Linked DNA regions of Canis lupus familiaris. The protein of the gene in region 1 binds, or shares a complex with, the protein of each later gene. Links are inferred from orthologs where the notes say so. Each region holds a gene or a part of one and is shown in the gene's direction. Other genes may lie near its edges.

Region 1 (4,211 bases):
CTGTGTAGACCTGGGTTTGTACTTAGTGCTTAATACCTAACATTTATTACCTCCTTAGGTTGCTTTGGTCCAAGCTCACTCGAACTGAAGTTACGTAAACTAATAGGGAACAAAAGCCAACGAAGCCATTTCTAAATGAACTTCCACTTCTTGAAAACCTCAAAAGAACAAGGAAGGAAAAGAAAACAGGCAATGAAAGTGCTGCTGACCAACACATTTTACTCACACTGACAAAGCGCCTCCAACTCCCCCTCCAATCCAGGCAAAAGTGACCTTCTTCTCTGAATCCAGATAGCTCCAGATCAAGTGTTTAACAACAAACCTCGGAAAAGTTTAAAGCACCCCTCAGTTTCCGAAATCACTCTTTCTAAAGCTTTGTCTCTTGACGAATAAACCCCTTGACGAATCCTGCGTACGCCACTCAGCAGACTAACCCAATGAGCTTCATTACAACGCACTAGAATCTAAGCTCCGAGCACAAGAGGGGCTAAAAGAACACTCGGGACGTGGTAAATCCAGACACAATTTTAACGTAAACAACAAAAGCCAGGTCCCGTGGGGCGTGGTGGAAGATTCCAAGTTCCCAAAAGAAGGAAATCATGAGAATTTCCTCCAGGGGAGCGGCGAGATTCTGCAAGGCGTGGGAGTTTCTGCACGAGGTGAGGGAGATTTAAAATGAATATTCCTTTGCTCTGAAGTGCCGTGTGAGAAGCGGCAGCTGGCACCCGAGGCGGGCGAGGTGAAGCCCGGCCGTGCCATGCGGCGGCGGAGGCTGCGCCTGGGCACTCCCACCATTCTCCACAGCCGAGTCGGGACGCCAGACGGCAGCCCGGCGCCGCGCGAACCTGCACGGGCGCCCCTCGCCCCGTGGGCCGCCCGCCCTCGGCCCGGCGTGCCGCAAGCCCACCCCGACGGCTCTCCGGAGCGCGGACCTCTCTCGACACCCAGGGGACAGGCGGGGGAGAGGGGATCCCCGGGCGGCGGTCCCGCCCCGGCGCGTCACTCACCTGAGCAGACTGGAGAGCGGATGGCTAGAGGACCCGAGGCCGAGGCCGCCGCCGCCGCCGCCGCCGCCGCTCCCGGAGGAGCCGCTGCCGCCGCCGCCGCCACCCCCGAAGCCCGAGGAAAGCCGCTTCCCCGACAGCAGCTTCTCCACGGCCGGGAGGTGCCCGGTGCGGGCCGCCTCCAGCAGCTCCTGCTCCTTCCCCATCCCCAGGGCCACCGCCCCCTGGACCCCCTTCCCAGGGCTGCGGCCGAGCCTGCTCCTGCTCCCAAACTTTCCGTCTCCGGGCAACGCACCCCCCAAACCGGCCGGGGACACCACCCCCCTCCCCCCGCCTTTTCGCCCCAGGAGCGCGTCACTTCCGGGATCTGGCGTCACGCGTCACCGCGCCCCCACGCCCCGCCCCCTTGCCCACCTAGCTGGGCGGGGCTCGGCCGGCGGGCGCAGGTGGCTTTGGGCCGCGGGAAGTGGACCCGGGAGTGCGGAGATACGCCTCCAGCGGCAAGAGGAAAGCGACTTGGAGATTCCCGCTGTACGGGTGGAAGGGGACAGACGGAGTCCACCTGTAGGCGCCTCCCGAAGTGCGCTCCTTCCCCAAAGGTTCTGGGAGCCCACAGGACAGGAAATACGGTAATTCACCCAGGCAGCGTGCAAACAAAGAGAGAAATACGGTAACGCCCACCTACATTTCCAAGTCCATTCTTTGAGCACGCATAAATTAAATCTGTGGTGTCTGTGGGGGCCTAGTGATACAGAGGTGAATAAAATGCCCCACTCTTACCTCAATCACGGGAGAGAGGAAAATTTTTAAATAAAAATCCCTCCACTTCTTGATGGTCCCAATCTCTGACATGGCTCGTTAAAGTGAAATATGCAAAGACGAGACCTCCCTTCCCAGTAGAATCCGTTTCCTCTCCTTTTGATGAGATTAACCAAACTGACCTAAGAAGTCAGGTTTGTAAAACCGACCTCGATCTTTAGGACCGGTGAATTGAAAAATCACTTATGCGGGTAGAAACTATGTGTTGTTGCTACTAGAACTGTCCCTAGCTCGAAGTAGGCGCTCAACAGTTGTGGCGTGAATAAATGGGTTGGATCAATTCTGTTCGAGCTATATGACTTTTTTTTTTTTTTTTTTTTTTTTAAGGTGCATAAGGAACCGAAGAGAAATGCTGGCGATTCACACAGGCCCACGATCGCTAACCAATTGAAATGTACGAAGCTGTGTCCCCGCCTATAAATTTACCAGGTAGCCGCATCCCACCACACCCGCGTACAATGGAATGGAGTTTTCTCCCGTCCCCAAACTTGACTCTGAGAAAAGCGGATTAAGCAGTTAACTTCGTTTTTGGAAAGGCAGAACGGAGGGGGAAAAAAGAGAAAAAAGTCCTTCAGTAAGCAACACAACTCTTCTTTCCCAGTGTGGAAAATCCACAAACTGAATTCTGTAACCTCAGTCTTCCCTCTCCAACCGTCACCGAATCAGAGTTAAAAGGGAGTCCTGAAGTACTCTAAACGTGCTTCAAACTGTCCCCTCCGAGGAGCGGTAGGAGTGATGTCATCACAGAGCGACGACAGGAAGTAAGCTTCGGGGCTGCTGTGCTCCAGTAGGTCGTGCGTGAGCTCCAGGATCTGACAGGAGGGCGATCTCTCCGCTCTTTTTCTTACCGCTATGGATAATGCCTGCGAGTCGCCCACGGAAAAAGGTGGAGAGGCAAGGGAGTCAGATGAAACGGCCCCTGCTCCCGGGGTCCCCGGGCCTACAGATACTGACGGAATCCCGGAGGAAACTGACGTGGACGGAGATGGGGACTTGAAGGAAGCCACGGCCGAAGACGGCGAGGTAGGGAGGGAAGTGTTGATGAGGCTAGAGGAGTATTCCGAGATTTTTAGTGCTCTCCCGACCGCCTTCCTGGTTGGTCCCTCCAAGCTAAGATAAAACTCTTAACTCACCATAACTCTCTAGATATGAAAAGGTGGGCGGGGAGAGGGAAGAGACAAAACTTTAATGCTGCTTCGGTTCCAGAGACCTAGCCATTGGGTTTAATACTTTTAATCCTTGCCCTTACCTGTCGAGGCTACTTATAAGGGATTTTTTTTTTTTTTTTTTTTTTTTTTACGTAAACTCTCCCCCCCCAAGGTGGGACTTGAACACGACGGTGAGATCAAGAGTGCCTCCTTCCCCACTCAGGAAGCCACCCAGGCGCCCCTCAGGGACTTTGGCATAGCCTCTTGGTTTTCCTGGTGAAGAATTGGGACCTGATGTCACACTAAGACTTTATGCAAGAGCTAGAAGCCAGGATTCTAGAACCCCTTTGACCGAAATATGGTTTCTCCTAGATGTTGCTCAAGCATAACTTTGTCATTACACGCTGCAGAATCGTTCAATGGAGACTGTGAGGGACTTACTGGGTTAGTCACATTTTTACCTCCTTCCAACATTTAACTACTGCATTGACCAAAGAGAACGTGACATCAAATCCTATGGGCTTTGGCCAATACCTTATTTACAGAAAAATTCATAGCTTTCTATATTTTTGTTAACAAACAGGAGATAAGCACCCAACTCAAGAAACGAGAAGAACAGAACAAACCAGAAATATTTGATGTTCAAGTTTAGGCCAAATAAATTTTAATGTCTAAGAAAAATGGCTCATTTTTAAGGAAAATAGAAATCACCAAAATTAAAGCACAGAGAGGTTAGAAAATGTGTATTAAATAACTAGAGAAGAAATGGAAAAGTTTTTTAAAGATATACTACCTTCACTTTCACCTGTCCCCTCATATTCCTGTATGAGTTTATGTGAGTTCCTCTTTAGGGAAAACAGATTAAATCCCATTAATGAGGTTTGTTGTGTCTTTTGATCTTACATTAAGATGGAGAGGATGAATTTGGATTTTAATTGCTATTAAACATCTAGTACAAGTAAATTTATGTTAAATGCTTATGTGGGGAGAGATTAATAAGAAATCTATCTTCAAAAAGTTTTCAGTCTAGGGGACGCCTGGGTGGCTCAGCAGTTAAACATCTGCCTTTGGCTCGGCATGATCCTGGAGACCCGGGATTGAGTCCCACATTGGGCTCCCTGCATGGAGCCTGCTCCTCCCTCTGCCTATGTCTTTGCTTTTCTCTGTGTCTCTCATGAATAAATAAATAAATAAAATCTTTTTAAAAAAAAGTTTTCAGTCTAGCAATGGGAAATAAATA
Region 2 (3,516 bases), on another chromosome or scaffold:
ACCAGCCGGATGTCAGTGCTGTGCTGTCAGCCTACAACCAACAAGGAGACCCCACAATGTATGAAGAATACTATAGTGGACTGAAACACTTCATTGAATGTTCTTTGGACTGCCATCGGGCAGAGTTATCCCAACTCTTTTATCCTCTGTTTGTACACATGTACTTGGAACTAGTCTACAATCAACATGAGAATGAAGCAAAATCATTTTTTGAGAAGTATGTGAATTTCATATGTATTACATAAATAGCACACATATATAATGTGTATACACATCTGTAACCACACAAGTGTAAGATTGTAACTCAAAATGTATTTCATGAAGTAGAGATACCTGCTGCTAGGAGAACCTAAAAAAGGGGTTTGATCTAGTTGGAGAAGTCAGGGAAAGCTCCCTGAGAAAGTGATCTTGAGGTAAGATCCGAAGATTGGATTGGAGCTAACCAGATAAAGAGAAGTAGGAAAAGCGTGTGGAATAGCTCTGGCGGGAGGGATCATGGTAGGTGCAGAGATGAAGGAAGGCCAGTATGGCTGGAGCAGAGTATAGAGTCAGGTACAGTATAACCTGAAGCTGGGCTGGTACAGACAGGTTCTTGGGCCATGTTGAGGGTCTTTGTTTATTCTGAGAGCAGTGGTGGGTTGTATTGGGTAGGATTAGGAGCTGAGATTCAATGGACACTCAAACAATAATGACATAAATAAGTGTATTTTTTGCTTTTATCCTAAGAGCAATAGGAAGCTGTGTTAGGGTTAGATTAGATTGAGAGTGACTGAAAACCCAAATAATATGGCTTAAGTACAGTAAAAGTTCATTTCTCTCTCATAAAGGTTAGGCAGTCGGGGACTGGTATGGAGGCCTTGATTACTGGGGACCCAGGCTTTCTCCATCTCGATGCTCTTCCATCCTTGTCGCGTAGTTTCTACCTGTGGCACAAGATGGCTCTTTGGCTCTGAGCAGTCATATTAGTGTTGCAGTCAGCTGGAAAGGCGCACATCCTTTCTGGAAGTTGCACACACCTCTTCCCTTTATTTTTTTTTTAAGATTTTATTTACTTATTCATGAGAGACACAGGGGTGGGGGCAGAGACATAGGCAGAGGGAGAAGCAAGCTCCCCCGCAGGGAGCCCAATGTGGGACTTGATCCCAGGATTCTGGGTTCATGCCCTGAGCCAAAGGCAGATGCTCAACCACTGAGCCGCCCAGGTGTCCCACACCTTTTCCTTTTTTTTTTTTTTTTTTTTTTTTTTTTAAAGATTTTATATATTCATGAGAGAGACAGAGAGAGGCAGAGATACAGGCAGAGGGAGAAGCAGGCTTCATGCAGGGAACTCGATGTGGAACTCCCATCCTGGATCTCCAGGATCACGCCCTGGGCTGAAGATGGCGATAAACCACTGAGCCACCCAGGCTGCCCCCTCTTCCTTTTTTATGTGGTTAGTCAATGTTCATACTTCCTATCTCCCTTGTGTTTATGTGCTCAGCTAAGATGCAGGAATTCTGCTGTGGAGGAAGAAAGAAAAAAAATGGATGTTAGGGACAGTGAGGTGTCTCTGCTATAGAAGTCATTGAAGGTCCATGTCATTATTAGATTTGCATTTTTAAAAAATTTTATTATTAATCTCTTTACCCAGAGTGGGGCTGAACTCACAACCCTGATGAGATCGAGTCGTATGCTCTACTACTTATGCCAGACAGGTGCCCTGATTTGCCTTTTGAAAGGACCTTTATGCAGTTGGAAAGAATAGATGGTGGTTGTAGGGAGGAACAGAGTGACTTTAGAGTGACTGGTTTGGGAGGTGATTGTAGTGGTCCTCAACTAGGGGGTAATATTATTCTGGCTTCTCCTGGGCTATTTGAACATGTGTAAAGGTGTTTTGGTTGTCATAATGACCAGGGTGGGGAAGAGCAGGTGTCTTCGGGATGCCAAATGTTCTAATATGTGCAGGTAGTCCTATTTAACAAAGAATTGTTCTGCCCCAAAATCTTCTGTTGAGAAATATTAGACTAGGGTGCAGTAGTGTTTGTGAAGGTAAGTAGATATTGGTGAGGCAGTTGGTGATGGATTGGATATGGAGTAAGGGAGATGAGAGTATTATTGATAACCATTAGGTTTCTGGCTCCATCATCTGGATAGGGGTGGCCTTCACTAAGATAGGAAACCCTGGAAGAAGACCTGGTTTGACCGGTTGTGGAGTAATCTTGAGTTCAGATTTGAATATGCCTTTGACTCATTTAAGAGATACTAAGTTGATTCGTGAATGGTATATAAGTCTCTGGAGTTCCAAGGAGATGTAGGGACCAGAGCCATAAATTGGAGTTGTGTATAATATTGATGCATATGGATGAGATTACCTGGAGTGGAGGCTATATGAAATAAGTCACTGGGAGGCTGGACCTGGGCCTTGAGGAACTCCCAACATTTGGAGTAGAAGAGATAGAAAAAGAGTAGAACAGATGGCCAAGTAGAAGAGGTATGCAAGGAGAAGTTAGAGAAGTAGGAAGAAAACCAGGAAGGTATTGAGTTATAGAAGCCAAAGAAAGGAGTGTTTAAAAAGGAGGCAGTACTTAACAGTTTGAATGAGAACATTTTAATACAAACAATAGACCCAAAAGCCAGCAGTTGTCAGACAACACAAGTAGTGGTTATAGGGGAATAATAGAACTTGGGACACTTAGCTTCAATGCCATCATGTCCATTCGTTATTGTATGATGCCTTATAGAAGGTTATAAAGCAAATATTCTTTAGCTTAGCATTTTAGAAAAAAATTAACAAAGGCTGATGATGATAGGATTGTAACCTAATTTTTCTTAAAGTATTGTCATCAAGAAACCCCTTCCTCTCTTAGTATCATGGGTAGCCATCTTGCCACAGAAAAATAGAATATCCTGGGGGACTCTTGTCTGCTTGTTGTGGACAATCTCAGCCCTTCCCAAGCACCAGTGCTCAGATGAGGTTATGGGCAGTGACTGCTATGAACACCAGGAGACTGAAATTTCTAATTTCACTGAAATCTTGGACAGAAACCCTTAGTTCATGTCTTGGTGAATCATAATAGGGTAACATAGGTAACAGTTTAGGAATCTTTTGACTTGTATCAGAGCTAGAGCCCTAATATCTTATGTTTAGTCATTGTTCTCTAAATGTTTTTGCGTTGTTAGTGAGTGCCAAATATATGATCTTTAATTTTACTTTATCAGGAAAATTAAGATTTATAGAAACAAAAGTACATTTAAATTTACTAATTATCACCAAGGCTGAAAGCTTTACTTAATTACCTTTGGTAATGGTGAGTAAATGGAAGTGTTTATTCTTTGGTATCAACATTTGTTTGTCCTTTAGTCATTATTATTATACTGATGTTTAATAAATATATCTGGTATTAAGAATATAAGAAATCATTGAAAATGGTGGGTTTTATGAGAATGTCATGTATTATTAAGAAGCTGGGGGATAGGTTCGTTAATTATACTAGTTTCTACTGTTGTATATGTTTGAAAATTTCCATAATAAAAAGC
Region 3 (4,167 bases), on another chromosome or scaffold:
TTTAATTTCCTCACATGACACCCAATACCACAGACTACCTAAACCAAAACAGACACATTCACACGCACTTTTAGGAAACCTCTCCACTCACAATTGGCACTGCCCTTGGCTAGAGAGAAAATATATATAAAGTAGCTCTGTCTCATTTTAGAATGTATTGTCTCTCACAAATTATTTATTATGGGAAACAGACTATATGTCATTTCTAAATGAATCAACTTTCATTCAATTAGCAAATATTTTTTTGTGTTTCCCATGTTTTGGTAATAGGTCCTGGGACACCATGAACAGGGATATCAAAAACTCCCTGATTATCACAGAGCTTCCAATCTGGTGCAAGAGAAACAGTCAAGTACCTAAACAAAACGAATTCTGAAAGTGTTAATCACATTTTAAGTGAGTTTGCTTAAATTTAGATGAAGTTGTTCATATTTTAGAAGACAGAAACAAAATTTTAATGACCTTGATGCTTAACCAAACTGATCCTATTAAAAAATAAATGGAAATGAATAGGAGCAAATGTAAACTGTTACATATTTAGGCCTAAACACTACAAAACATGCAAATGAGTACCTCACTACCCGTAGAAGTGACAAGCAGAAAACAGTTTCAAAAGAGTAGATGTGGAATGAAAAAAAAAATCCTAACTTAAAAAGTACAGGCAAATGCGTGACAGGGAGTAATACTTCAATTTTATTCTACTTCAATCAGACCGTTTGTCAGACAATTATGTTCTAAACGAATATATGCCTCCAGAAGAACACTCGCTTCTTTGTTTACATTTAGATCTACGTCAAACATATTAAAAAGAGGAATAACTCATGTACCCTTGTGGTTTTTCAAAAAAGAAAGAGTCCCTAAGGCATGGGTCCCCTCCAGGCATTTTCCATAATTAACAAAACATATACTTAGAATGATATAGTGGTCAGCATGTCCTTCTCACTCCACTGATTTGAGTAGTTTAAAATCCACTGTTATATATATAACAATTATAGTTAACTATAATTCTTGTATCTGCTCCAGAATGGATATACCGTGGGGAGCATCCGAGATGTTCCAAAAGGCAAAGACGATTTCTGCACGGACGCCCTGTTTCCGGAAATCACTCAGAAGCCTAGGAGATAACCGGACCACGGCGACCAATAAATGTTCTGGCTTAGCGGAGCGGGAAAGGTGAACGCGAGGGCCAATGTCTTCGCTGCAATGTTTGTCTGTAAATATTTTCAAACCAACAGCTCTTTATGAAACATTTATCGTTTTCTCGCGTAAAGTCAAATCATCGCGAGAGGACAAGTCCCCGGATAATGTAATTGCGCCTGCGCGCGCTGGGGCAGCCCGGACTTCCGCTTTAATCGTGCTGTCACTCATAGCCGCCCCACGGTGTGACGTAGTGCTTTCTTCTCCGCTAGGTCTGCAGCTCCGGACTGAGATCCCCCGAGCTGCGGAGCTGCCGAGTCTGGCGCTGCGGATCTCGGCGAGATTTCGCACTGCCCGCCGTCGGCATTTCATTGATAATCGGTAGCGGATCACTTTCCTAAGACCTGGGAAGAACAAAGGAATAAAGAAGGAGACGCTCGGCTCCTGGCCGTCTTGCTCGGAGTGGCTGCCTCTTCCGCTCGCTCCTATCCGGAGAAGCTGGGCTTATAATCGTCACTGGATTGTAAGTACCCAAGGCGAAGAAAGCTCACTGCGTTCTGCTTTTTGAATACCTTTGTTCCGGGAGAGAGTGTAAAATGGGAGTGTCTGCTGGGCCTTACTTTTTGTGTCGAAAATCATTTCGCAGAAGCCGCCATTTGCTTTCCTGCTAGGTAGCTCGGTCTGCATTGTCCGGCAGCGGCATCTAGAGGTTGGAACTTGAATTGCAGCTAATAGTTTTAAATGGACTTAATTGATTAGTGTCCCTAACGACTGGTATTTCAATCACAGCAGATTTATAAAGACTTGGGCCTTAATTCACAGTAGACGCTTAGCTCCTATTCTGCTTAAAACTTTTGTAATTAAGGATTTCAGTTCATAACAAACTGGCCTCCACCTGTTGTCAGTAGCTGGAACTTAAAGTGCAACAAGTGGTGGTTGAGAAGTGAGTCTCAAAGAAGGAAAGATGAGTAAGAGCAAAGATGATGCTCCTCACGAACTGGAGAGCCAGTTTATTTTACGGCTACCTCCGGAATATGCCTCTACTGTGAGACGGGCAGTACAGTCTGGTCATGTCAATCTGAAGGACAGACTGACAATTGAGTTACACCCTGATGGACGTCACGGAATCGTCAGAGTGGACCGGGTTCCATTGGCCTCCAAATTGGTAGATCTGCCATGTGTTATGGAAAGCCTGAAAACCATTGATAAAAAAACTTTTTACAAGACAGCTGATATATGTCAGATGCTTGTCTCCACAGTTGATGGTGATCTCTATCCTCCTGTGGAGGAACCAGTTGCTACTACTGATCCCAAAGCAAGCAAGAAAAAGGATAAGGACAAAGAGAAGAAGTTTATATGGAACCATGGAATTACTCTGCCTCTAAAAAATGTCAGAAAGAGAAGGTTTCGGAAGACAGCAAAGAAGAAGTATATTGAATCTCCAGATGTGGAGAAGGAAGTGAAGCGGTTGCTAAGTACAGATGCTGAAGCTGTGAGTACTCGTTGGGAGATAATTGCTGAAGATGAAACAAAAGAAACAGAAAATCAAGGCCTTGATATATCTTCTCCAGGAATGTCTGGTCACAGGCAGGGCCATGACTCATTAGAACATGATGAGCTTCGGGAGATATTCAATGACCTCAGTAGCAGCAGTGAAGATGAAGATGAGACGCAGCATCAAGATGAAGAAGATATAAACATCATTGACACTGAGGAAGATCTGGAAAGACAGCTACAGGAGAAGCTGAATGAATCAGATGAACAGCACCAAGAAAATGAGGGGACCAACCAACTGGTTATGGGAATTCAGAAACAGATTGATAATATGAAAGGCAAACTACAAGAGACCCAGGATAGGGCAAAACGACAGGAGGATCTCATTATGAAAGTCGAAAACCTGGCTCTCAAGAATAGATTTCAGGCCGTGCTGGATGAACTCAAACAAAAGGAAGACCGAGAAAGGGAGCAGCTCAGCTCTTTGCAGGAAGAGCTAGAATCACTCCTGGAGAAGTGAAAAGAGCTCTCGTATTTAATTTCATTCCTAAGACTGCTTTCATTCCTTAGCATTGAAAGAAGAATCTTGGCTTCATCACACCTGGACTAGATATAACTGCAGTAGTTCTCATTTTCTTCACTGTTATCTACTGAATTTGTCTTACAAATATGTGAATTGCTATCTTGTTTGTCAGAACCACTTTGCTCTGTGTCCTGTAGAAAGTAAGAATGTATAGACAGATAAGTGATTGTAGGAAAATTGTAGGCTCAGTGGAATGAACAGTGTAACCTTAGTAATTAAAACTTTACTGAAGGATTTTGCTGCTGTTTCTCCATTTGCCAGAGTGGCTGTTCCTTCTCTGTGATGCCATCAGAAATCAGTAAGCAGAGTCTAGTGTGCAGGCAGTGATGTTGGTTTGCATGTTTTCCCATGAAGTAGTAGCTATTTTCCCAGGTATTCAAAGCGTTCTTATGTATGTAGGGTTATAAACCATTTCAAAAAGTTGTTTTAACAATAAATAAAAGCAACTAATTTTCACCTCATGATGTGTCTTGCTCTTTAAGGGGTAGTGGGTATCAGGTCCTCTGGTGAGGTGGTCTCTTGGTGGGGTTTAATGACTGATTTGATCCTGTTTTGTAGGGAAAGAAGTTATGTTGAGTTTTAAGAAAACACAGTAGGGTCAAAAAGATTGGGAAATCTGTCTTTGCTTTATGTTAACTTTCCAACCCACCTGTTACATATGTAGGTTAAGAAAATACTGCGTACAGAACCTTCCTAAACTATCCTAACTTTTGTACATGAAGGTCTATTTTTGTCTTTTTTTTTTTTTTTAAAGCACTACACTCATCTTGTTAAAATAGTAGAAACAAAGCAAAGGCTCTTACGTACTGTTCACGTAATCAACCCATTGTTTTGGATTGATTGCATTTCTAAATATTTTCAACTTCCATTCCTGCAATTATTTAATAGTATGTACAGAACTCAGGTGATATGTCCATGTTCGTCAAAATTGTTCAAAAGGAAGTCATCACTAT
Region 4 (2,838 bases), on another chromosome or scaffold:
ATCACAGAAATATAGGTCACAGAAATATAAATTCCTGCCCAAGAGAGTTAAGATACATGTAAGTCTCTTAATATGTATCTCCAAGTTGCTTTTCAAAAAGCTTTGAATTAAGTTTTAACTCTATGATTGAAGATCTTACTGTTATTCATGGTCGGTTCTCAGGAGTAATGATGTCCCAAAATAACAGCCTAGGACAGTGTTGTCCAATAAAAATATCATACAACTCATTAGGTAATTTAAAATCTTCTAGTAGACACATTTTTTAAAAAAGTAATAAACAGGGGAGTGTGGGTGGTGTAGTCCGTTAAGCATCTATCTGACTCTTGATTTCAGCTCAGGTCATGATCTCAGAGACATGAAATTGAACCTCACCTCGGGTTCTGTGCTGAGCACCAAGTCTGCTTGGGTTTCTCTCTGCCTCTCCTTCTGCCTCTCCCCTTGCACACTCGCGTGCTCTCTCTCTTTCTCTCTCAAATAAGTCTTTAAAAAAGTAATAAGTGAAATTAATTTTAATAATATATTTTATTGAACTCAATATATCCAAAATATATCTTTTCAAACTATATATTTAAAAATTATTGCTAAGGTTTTTTTTCTTCTTTATTCACATTCAGTTTCTGAAATCTAACATGTGTTTTACACTTTACATCTCCATTTGTTTTTGTTTCTGGTTTGTTTTTGTTTTGTTTTGTTTTGAGATTGTATTTATTCATGAGAGACACAGAGAGGCAGAGACGCAGACTCCCCACAAGGAGCCAGATGCAGGATTCAATCCTGGAACCAGGGATCATGCCCTGAGACAAAGGCAGATGCTCAGCCTCTGAGCCACCCAGGTGTCCCTCACATCTCCATTTGAACTAGGCACATTTCCAGTGCTCAGTAGCCAAGTGTGGCTTAGTGGCTACTGTATGGAATAGCACAGGTCTAGGAATTTGGCTATCTTCTTTGGAAGGTGGCAGGCGGTTACTTTTAAAAACATATCCTCATTTATGTCCCTTTGTTACCTTACTCTTTTTAATAAAAATGAAGCAGAAACAAAATTTAACTGACTAAAAAAGCCTCCTAGATAAGAGAATGGCTTACTAAATACTGTTTTACTGCTTCATATTTCTACCTGTTGAGTAACAATGTATAATGGGTGAAAAAAAAGACAACTTTAAAAGATACACTCCTTTATTCCAGCTTACTTGAACAGATCCTGGGGCTAGTTTTGTTTCTAGAATCTACATTATGTTACTGAATGCTAAACACCAGTGCAATGTTGCTCCCGAACATCCTGCTCACCGGTACCCCGGGGGTTGGAAAAACCACACTAGGCAAAGAACTTGCATCGAGATCAGGATTGAAATACATTAATGTGGGTGATTTAGCTCAAGAAGTCTGATCAACAGATATCATGGAGTCTGGCAAGATGGCTTCTCCCAAGAGCATGCCGAAAGATGCACAGATGATGGCACAAATCCTGAAGGATATGGGGATTACAGAATATGAACCAAGAGTTATAAATCAGATGTTGGAGTTTGCGTTCCGATATGTGACCACAATCCTAGATGATGCAAAAATTTATTCAAGCCATGCTAAGAAGGCTACTGTTGATGCAGACGATGTGCGGCTTGCCATTCAGTGTCGTGCTGATCAGTCTTTTACCTCTCCTCCCCCAAGAGATTTTTTATTGGATATTGCAAGGCAAAGAAATCAAACTCCTTTGCCGTTAATCAAGCCATATTCAGGCCCCAGGCTGCCACCTGATAGATATTGCTTGACGGCTCCAAACTATAGACTTAAGTCTTTACAAAAAAAGGCATCAACTTCTGCGGGAAGAATAACAGTTCCACGGTTAAGTGTTGGTTCTGTTACTAGCCGACCAAGTACTCCCACTCTTGGTACACCAACCCCACAAACCATGTCAGTGTCAACTAAAGTAGGGACTCCCATGTCCCTCACAGGGCAGAGGTTTACAGTACAGATGCCCACATCACAGTCCCCAACTGTAAAAGCATCAATTCCTGCCACATCCGCAGTTCAGAATGTTCTGATTAATCCATCATTAATTGGGTCCAAAAACATTCTTATCACTACAAACATGGTGTCATCACAAAATACTTCCAATGAATCATCAAATGCATTGAAAAGAAAACGAGAAGATGATGATGATGACGATGATGATGACGATGATGACTATGATAATTTGTAATCTAGCCTTGATGCTGTAACCTGTAAACTTGGTCTTAAATCCATTGTACTGAGATTAAACGTGCATGCTGGGTATTTTGAAGTTGTGTTGTAGAAAACTTAAATGGTATTTAATGAGTAAATATAGTTATCCTTTCCTATTGAATGTTGGGTTTTCTTTAATAGGATTAGTAATGGTTATTCATTAGCCTTTAAGTGTGAAAAATAAAATTGTTGTTCATCAAAAAAAAAAACAAAAAACACCAGTGCAAACATTCTCTTAAATTAATAAAAATTTCTTTTGTTGAGTCTTTAATGATGAAATGAACAGGAAAGAAGAAAAGCAAGAAATAGATTTGACTGTGCTATACTGATGAAAACCATGTTTTTCAATTTATTCTCACAATAAAAAGTATTTGATCTGAAATCCTATATAATCCCAGGATGCAACAATCCTTCTCTGTTGTATGGCAACTTCCTGCCATGCATAATTATTTTCCAAAAGCGTATCAGGTCAGAAATGAAGCAGAGAATGGGGGAAAGAGTCCATAGTGATCTTAGGCAGATTTTATTTTACTAGTAGGAATCAGTTGGATAGTTATTACCACCTGGCACTGCTAATGAGTCTAGTTGGGAAAACAAAGCAGCAAAGCATTCCACAGCAGA
Region 5 (3,991 bases), on another chromosome or scaffold:
TCCCTCTGCCTGTGTCTCTGCTTCTCTCTCTCTCTATCTCTCATGAATAAATAAATAAAATCTTTAAAAAAACATAAGACATGTTTAGTATCTAAACAAAGTTAGGTTCTAGGCTCAGATAATTATAGGTTTTTCATTCACATGAATGTTTAGCAGGGCATTCAGAAATATTGTGGGACAACTTCTCCTTGTGTGGCATCATGCCTTGCATTGCAGAACATTTGATATCCCTAGCTTTAGCTTTCTAACGCCAGTGGTTTTCTTCATTGTTCTGATCACAAAATTCCCCACAAATATTTAATCCTCAGTTTAAGGGGGTGATGTTTTCCTCTTAAAAACTAGCGGCGAAGGAAAACATACCCAATAATCAGTGTAGTGCTTGGCAATTAATAATAGTGTAACTAGGGATCCCTGGGTGGCGCAGCGGTTTGGCGCCTGCCTTTGGCCCAGGGCGCGATCCTGGAGACCCGGGATCGAATCCCACGTCGGGCTCCCGGCGCATGGAGCCTGCTTCTCCCTCTGCCTCTCTCTCTCTCTGTGTGTGTGTGAGACTATCATAAATTTAAAAAAAAGAGTGTAACTAGGGCAGCCCCGGTGGCTCAGCGGTTTAGCGCCACCTTTGGTCCAGGGCCTGATCCTGGAGACCGGGGATCGAGTCCCATGTCGGGCTCCCCGCAGAGAGCCTGCTTCTCCCTCTGCCTGTGCCTCTGTCTCTGTCTCTCTCTCTCATGAATAAATAAATTAAATCTTAAAAAAATAATAATAGTGTAACTATAGGTTGTTAAAATTGTGTAAACACACTCTTCGGGCATCCCAAGGACCACTGGCACCCCAGTGATACGTAGCTTCACAGCCCCGAATCAGGGAGCGGTGATTCCATACGTAGAAGCCAATTCAGGGCCACAACATACACACTGCCCAGTCTACGATTTCCTTTTCTTTCCTAATACGTAATCAATCCGTGATCTTGATCACAGAACCTGCGGCTCATCCCCCTGTCCGCTTGCACCTGCCGTTAAGTCTCCGCGCGACCTCCTCGCGGGTTGGCCGACTAGGCCCCGCCCCGCCCGGCTCGGCCCCGCCCCCTCCCCGCCCTCCCGGCTCGGCCCCGCCCCCGCCCCTCCCGGCTAGGCCCCGCCCCTCCCCGCCCCTCCCGGCGCGTCACCGGAAGTGAGGCAGAGGAACTAGTGAAGCGGCTGCAAGCGAGGCTGCGGCTTCTAGGCTGGCCGGCGGCATGGCCGACGAGGAGGAAGACCCTGCTGTGAGTGACCGCCGCCGTTCCCACCCACCCGTTTCTTCATTCCCTGGGGGACAGGAGCGGAGCCTGAGTTCAGATTCACCTTAGCCAGTACACTGGAGAGAGTTCGGAGACTTCACGCCCAGCTAGCCTTTCCCTTCGGGTTCATCTCTTAGTACGTGGGGCAGGACGTGAAGAGTAGGACGGTGGCTGCTTGCTTGCTTCTGCTTGCTTTTGCTTTTGGTGTCTGTTTGCTGGACACTCCGAATCGCCTGGAAAGCCATCCGAGGACAATGCTAATTGTTTGTTAGCGCGCTTTATGAACCGATACTGCAGCTGATAACAAAACTATGTGCTTACTGTAGAGTTGTGGGAAAATAATGGACCGAAAATCAGGGAACCTGGATTTCAAAACCTCTTTTATCTCTGAGCCAGTTTCTTAACTTTGAGCCTTTGTTTACATGTCAAAAAATGGGGTTCAGGCTTATTGGAGGGAAGTTCCTAGTCCTGTGTAAGCGATGCTTAGTAAATACTAGTTTGCTTACTTTGATTCAGTACCAATTCTTAATAGTAAAAACTGTAGTAATAGACTAACTAGTTGGTTTAAAAAAAAAAAAACGTATGGTCATCATAACTTCCAGGAGAGGCAGTAGGATTATTTGTTAGGGACATCGTAGAAGCCATTCCTGCGTAAGTGGAAAGTTGGACTGGATAGTCATTAAGGTTCTTAAAACGCTGAGATTTCATGATTTTTTGCTGCTTGCTTTAGGCTTTCTGGCACAATATCAGTGTTAGAAATGAAAAAAAAATTAAACGTTAATTATTTAATAATCAAATGCAGCACTTGACATTTCACATATACGTTTTAATTTGTAGTTTGAGGAAGAAAATGAAGAAATTGGAGGAGGTGCAGAAGGCGGACAGGGTAAAAGGAAGAGACTTTTTTCTAAAGAATGTAAGTAATATTTGACAATGATTCAATTACAGAGAATAAAAACTTTTTTTTTTTTTTAAAAGATTTTACTTATTTATTCATGAGAGACACACAGAGAGAGGCAGAGGTAGAAGCAGGCTCCATGCAGGGAGCCGGATGTGGGACTTAATCCTGGGACTTCAGGATCATGCCCTGGGCCAAAGGCAGGCGCTAAACGGCTGAACCACCCAGGGATCCCGACAATAAAAACTTTTAGACATGTTTATTCAAAGTAGATTAATGTTCTCTGTGGGAACAATATTCTCAGACTTGCCCATAAAACGTGTTTAACTTCTGAATCAAATAGTAGTGATCCTAACCCCAATTTGTGTGTGTGTGTAGGTGGGTGGGCGTGTATATGCACTTTTCTTTTTAATTGAAGAAATGTGATCAGTGTTTCAATTCAGGGCCAAAAAACATACCTCCATTACTTTTTGTGTCCCTTACTATTGCAGCAGAACTCCTAGACTACAAGTCTAAGGTTATGATGGATCCTGGAACAGGTACTGATGGTAGGAATTAAGTTGGGCCTTCGGACTAAAGCATTGGACAAGACAGAAAGGTGATGAGTAGTGTAAGACAGTACAGTGGCATAGAGATTGTAATGTATTGGTTCTCTAGTGTATTCCCTCAATAGATAGGCTTGACTCTTTTTGGCAGCAGCAAGAGGGAGAGCTGCTGTTCCTAGTGACAGTCAAAGCTAGTCCCTGAAAGGCACTGTGAGAATGTGCTCTCCATCCTGTGTCTTTTACACGTAGTTATGGCTGAGTAGTGACAAAGGAGGCAGCACATGAATATATGGTTTATTTATGCTGGGTCGGACTGAATGATTCCCAAATGCTCTTGAAACTGCAGTCGGTATATATTTATATTTTTTTAATGACTCAAATCCTCCATATCTCAATGTCTCACCTAAAGTTGACCACTCCTTAATCCATCTTTGATACTCTTTATTCTGTTTTTATTTCTTATATCAGCGTAAGAAGGGGATTTCCACGGCAGAGCATCCCAGACTGATGTTTGCATTGTCACTTCTTAGCAGAAATGTTTGTTCTGCTTGGCTTGTTTTATTTTTGTGATGATAAGAGTTTGGAATATTCACAGCCTTCTCCTTGTCTTACTTTAATCTTGTATAATTTATTGGCTGACATCTGTTATCCGAAACTTTGTTTTTTTTTTATTTTTTTTTATTTTTATTTTTTTTAAATTTTTCTTTTTTTTTTTAATTTTCATTTATTTATGATAGTCACACACACAGAGAGAGAGGCAGAGACACAGGCAGAGGGAGAAGCAGGCTCCATGCACCAGGAGCCCGACGTGGGATTCGATCCCGGGTCTCCAGGATTGCGCCCTGGGCCAAAGGCAGGCGCCAAACCGCTGCGCCACCCAGGGATCCCTTGTTTTTTTTTTAATTGCTACTTTATAACACAAAGTTTCAAATAATTCACTGGTATTTGTGTCTTTACAAACCCTTTAACCAAATGCAGTTAACATATATACTGGTGAATTATGCTCATCAAAATGTTAATGACAAAGTATCTTCCTCAAATATTTAAGGAAAAATAGTAAGCTTGCAATGGAGAATCCTGGCAGACAAGTAATGTCTAAAGTATTAGCTGATGATCAAAGTCAACATCACCAGTAATGTATAACATCATGTACCTCCAATATGATGCATTAAGAGGGCACCTCACCTGTATGGTACCCTTTCTAGTAATGAGTACCCACAGTCTAATCATGAGAAAACACCAGAGAAACTCAAATTGGAGAACATTCTACAC

The links.
Region 2: TAF11 (region 1) and TAF5 share a complex: the UniProt entries of both Homo sapiens proteins name them as parts of the TFIID basal transcription factor complex. The link is inferred for Canis lupus familiaris from reciprocal best matches to the Homo sapiens genes TAF11 and TAF5.
Region 3: TAF11 (region 1) and TAF7 share a complex: the UniProt entries of both Homo sapiens proteins name them as parts of the TFIID basal transcription factor complex. The link is inferred for Canis lupus familiaris from reciprocal best matches to the Homo sapiens genes TAF11 and TAF7.
Region 4: TAF11 (region 1) and TAF9 share a complex: the UniProt entries of both Homo sapiens proteins name them as parts of the TFIID basal transcription factor complex. The link is inferred for Canis lupus familiaris from reciprocal best matches to the Homo sapiens genes TAF11 and TAF9.
Region 5: TAF11 (region 1) and TAF13 share a complex: the UniProt entries of both Homo sapiens proteins name them as parts of the TFIID basal transcription factor complex. The link is inferred for Canis lupus familiaris from reciprocal best matches to the Homo sapiens genes TAF11 and TAF13.

The regions. Positions count from the first base shown.
Region 1 is NC_049233.1:4,269,724-4,273,934, reverse strand, and holds the start of TAF11 (transcription initiation factor TFIID subunit 11), read left to right. Parts: upstream 1-1,399; 5' UTR 1,400-1,674; intron 1,675-1,701; exon of another isoform or gene 1,702-1,760; intron 1,761-2,123; exon of another isoform or gene 2,124-2,150; 5' UTR 2,151-2,675; coding exon 2,676-2,846; exon of another isoform or gene 2,847-2,965; intron 2,966-4,211. Other genes in the region: ANKS1A (ankyrin repeat and SAM domain-containing protein 1A), read right to left, coding at 1,008-1,210. UniProt on the Homo sapiens protein: The TFIID basal transcription factor complex plays a major role in the initiation of RNA polymerase II (Pol II)-dependent transcription.
Region 2 is NC_049249.1:15,941,790-15,945,305, forward strand, and holds part of TAF5 (transcription initiation factor TFIID subunit 5), read left to right. Parts: coding exon 1-217; intron 218-3,516. UniProt on the Homo sapiens protein: The TFIID basal transcription factor complex plays a major role in the initiation of RNA polymerase II (Pol II)-dependent transcription.
Region 3 is NC_049223.1:35,442,262-35,446,428, reverse strand, and holds TAF7 (transcription initiation factor TFIID subunit 7), read left to right. Parts: upstream 1-1,351; 5' UTR 1,352-2,101; coding exon 2,102-3,151; 3' UTR 3,152-3,675; downstream 3,676-4,167. UniProt on the Homo sapiens protein: The TFIID basal transcription factor complex plays a major role in the initiation of RNA polymerase II (Pol II)-dependent transcription.
Region 4 is NC_049257.1:19,523,884-19,526,721, reverse strand, and holds TAF9 (transcription initiation factor TFIID subunit 9), read left to right. Parts: upstream 1-1,268; 5' UTR 1,269-1,396; coding exon 1,397-2,194; 3' UTR 2,195-2,333; downstream 2,334-2,838. UniProt on the Homo sapiens protein: The TFIID basal transcription factor complex plays a major role in the initiation of RNA polymerase II (Pol II)-dependent transcription.
Region 5 is NC_049227.1:43,170,349-43,174,339, forward strand, and holds the start of TAF13 (transcription initiation factor TFIID subunit 13), read left to right. Parts: upstream 1-1,178; 5' UTR 1,179-1,234; coding exon 1,235-1,261; intron 1,262-2,113; coding exon 2,114-2,192; intron 2,193-3,991. UniProt on the Homo sapiens protein: The TFIID basal transcription factor complex plays a major role in the initiation of RNA polymerase II (Pol II)-dependent transcription.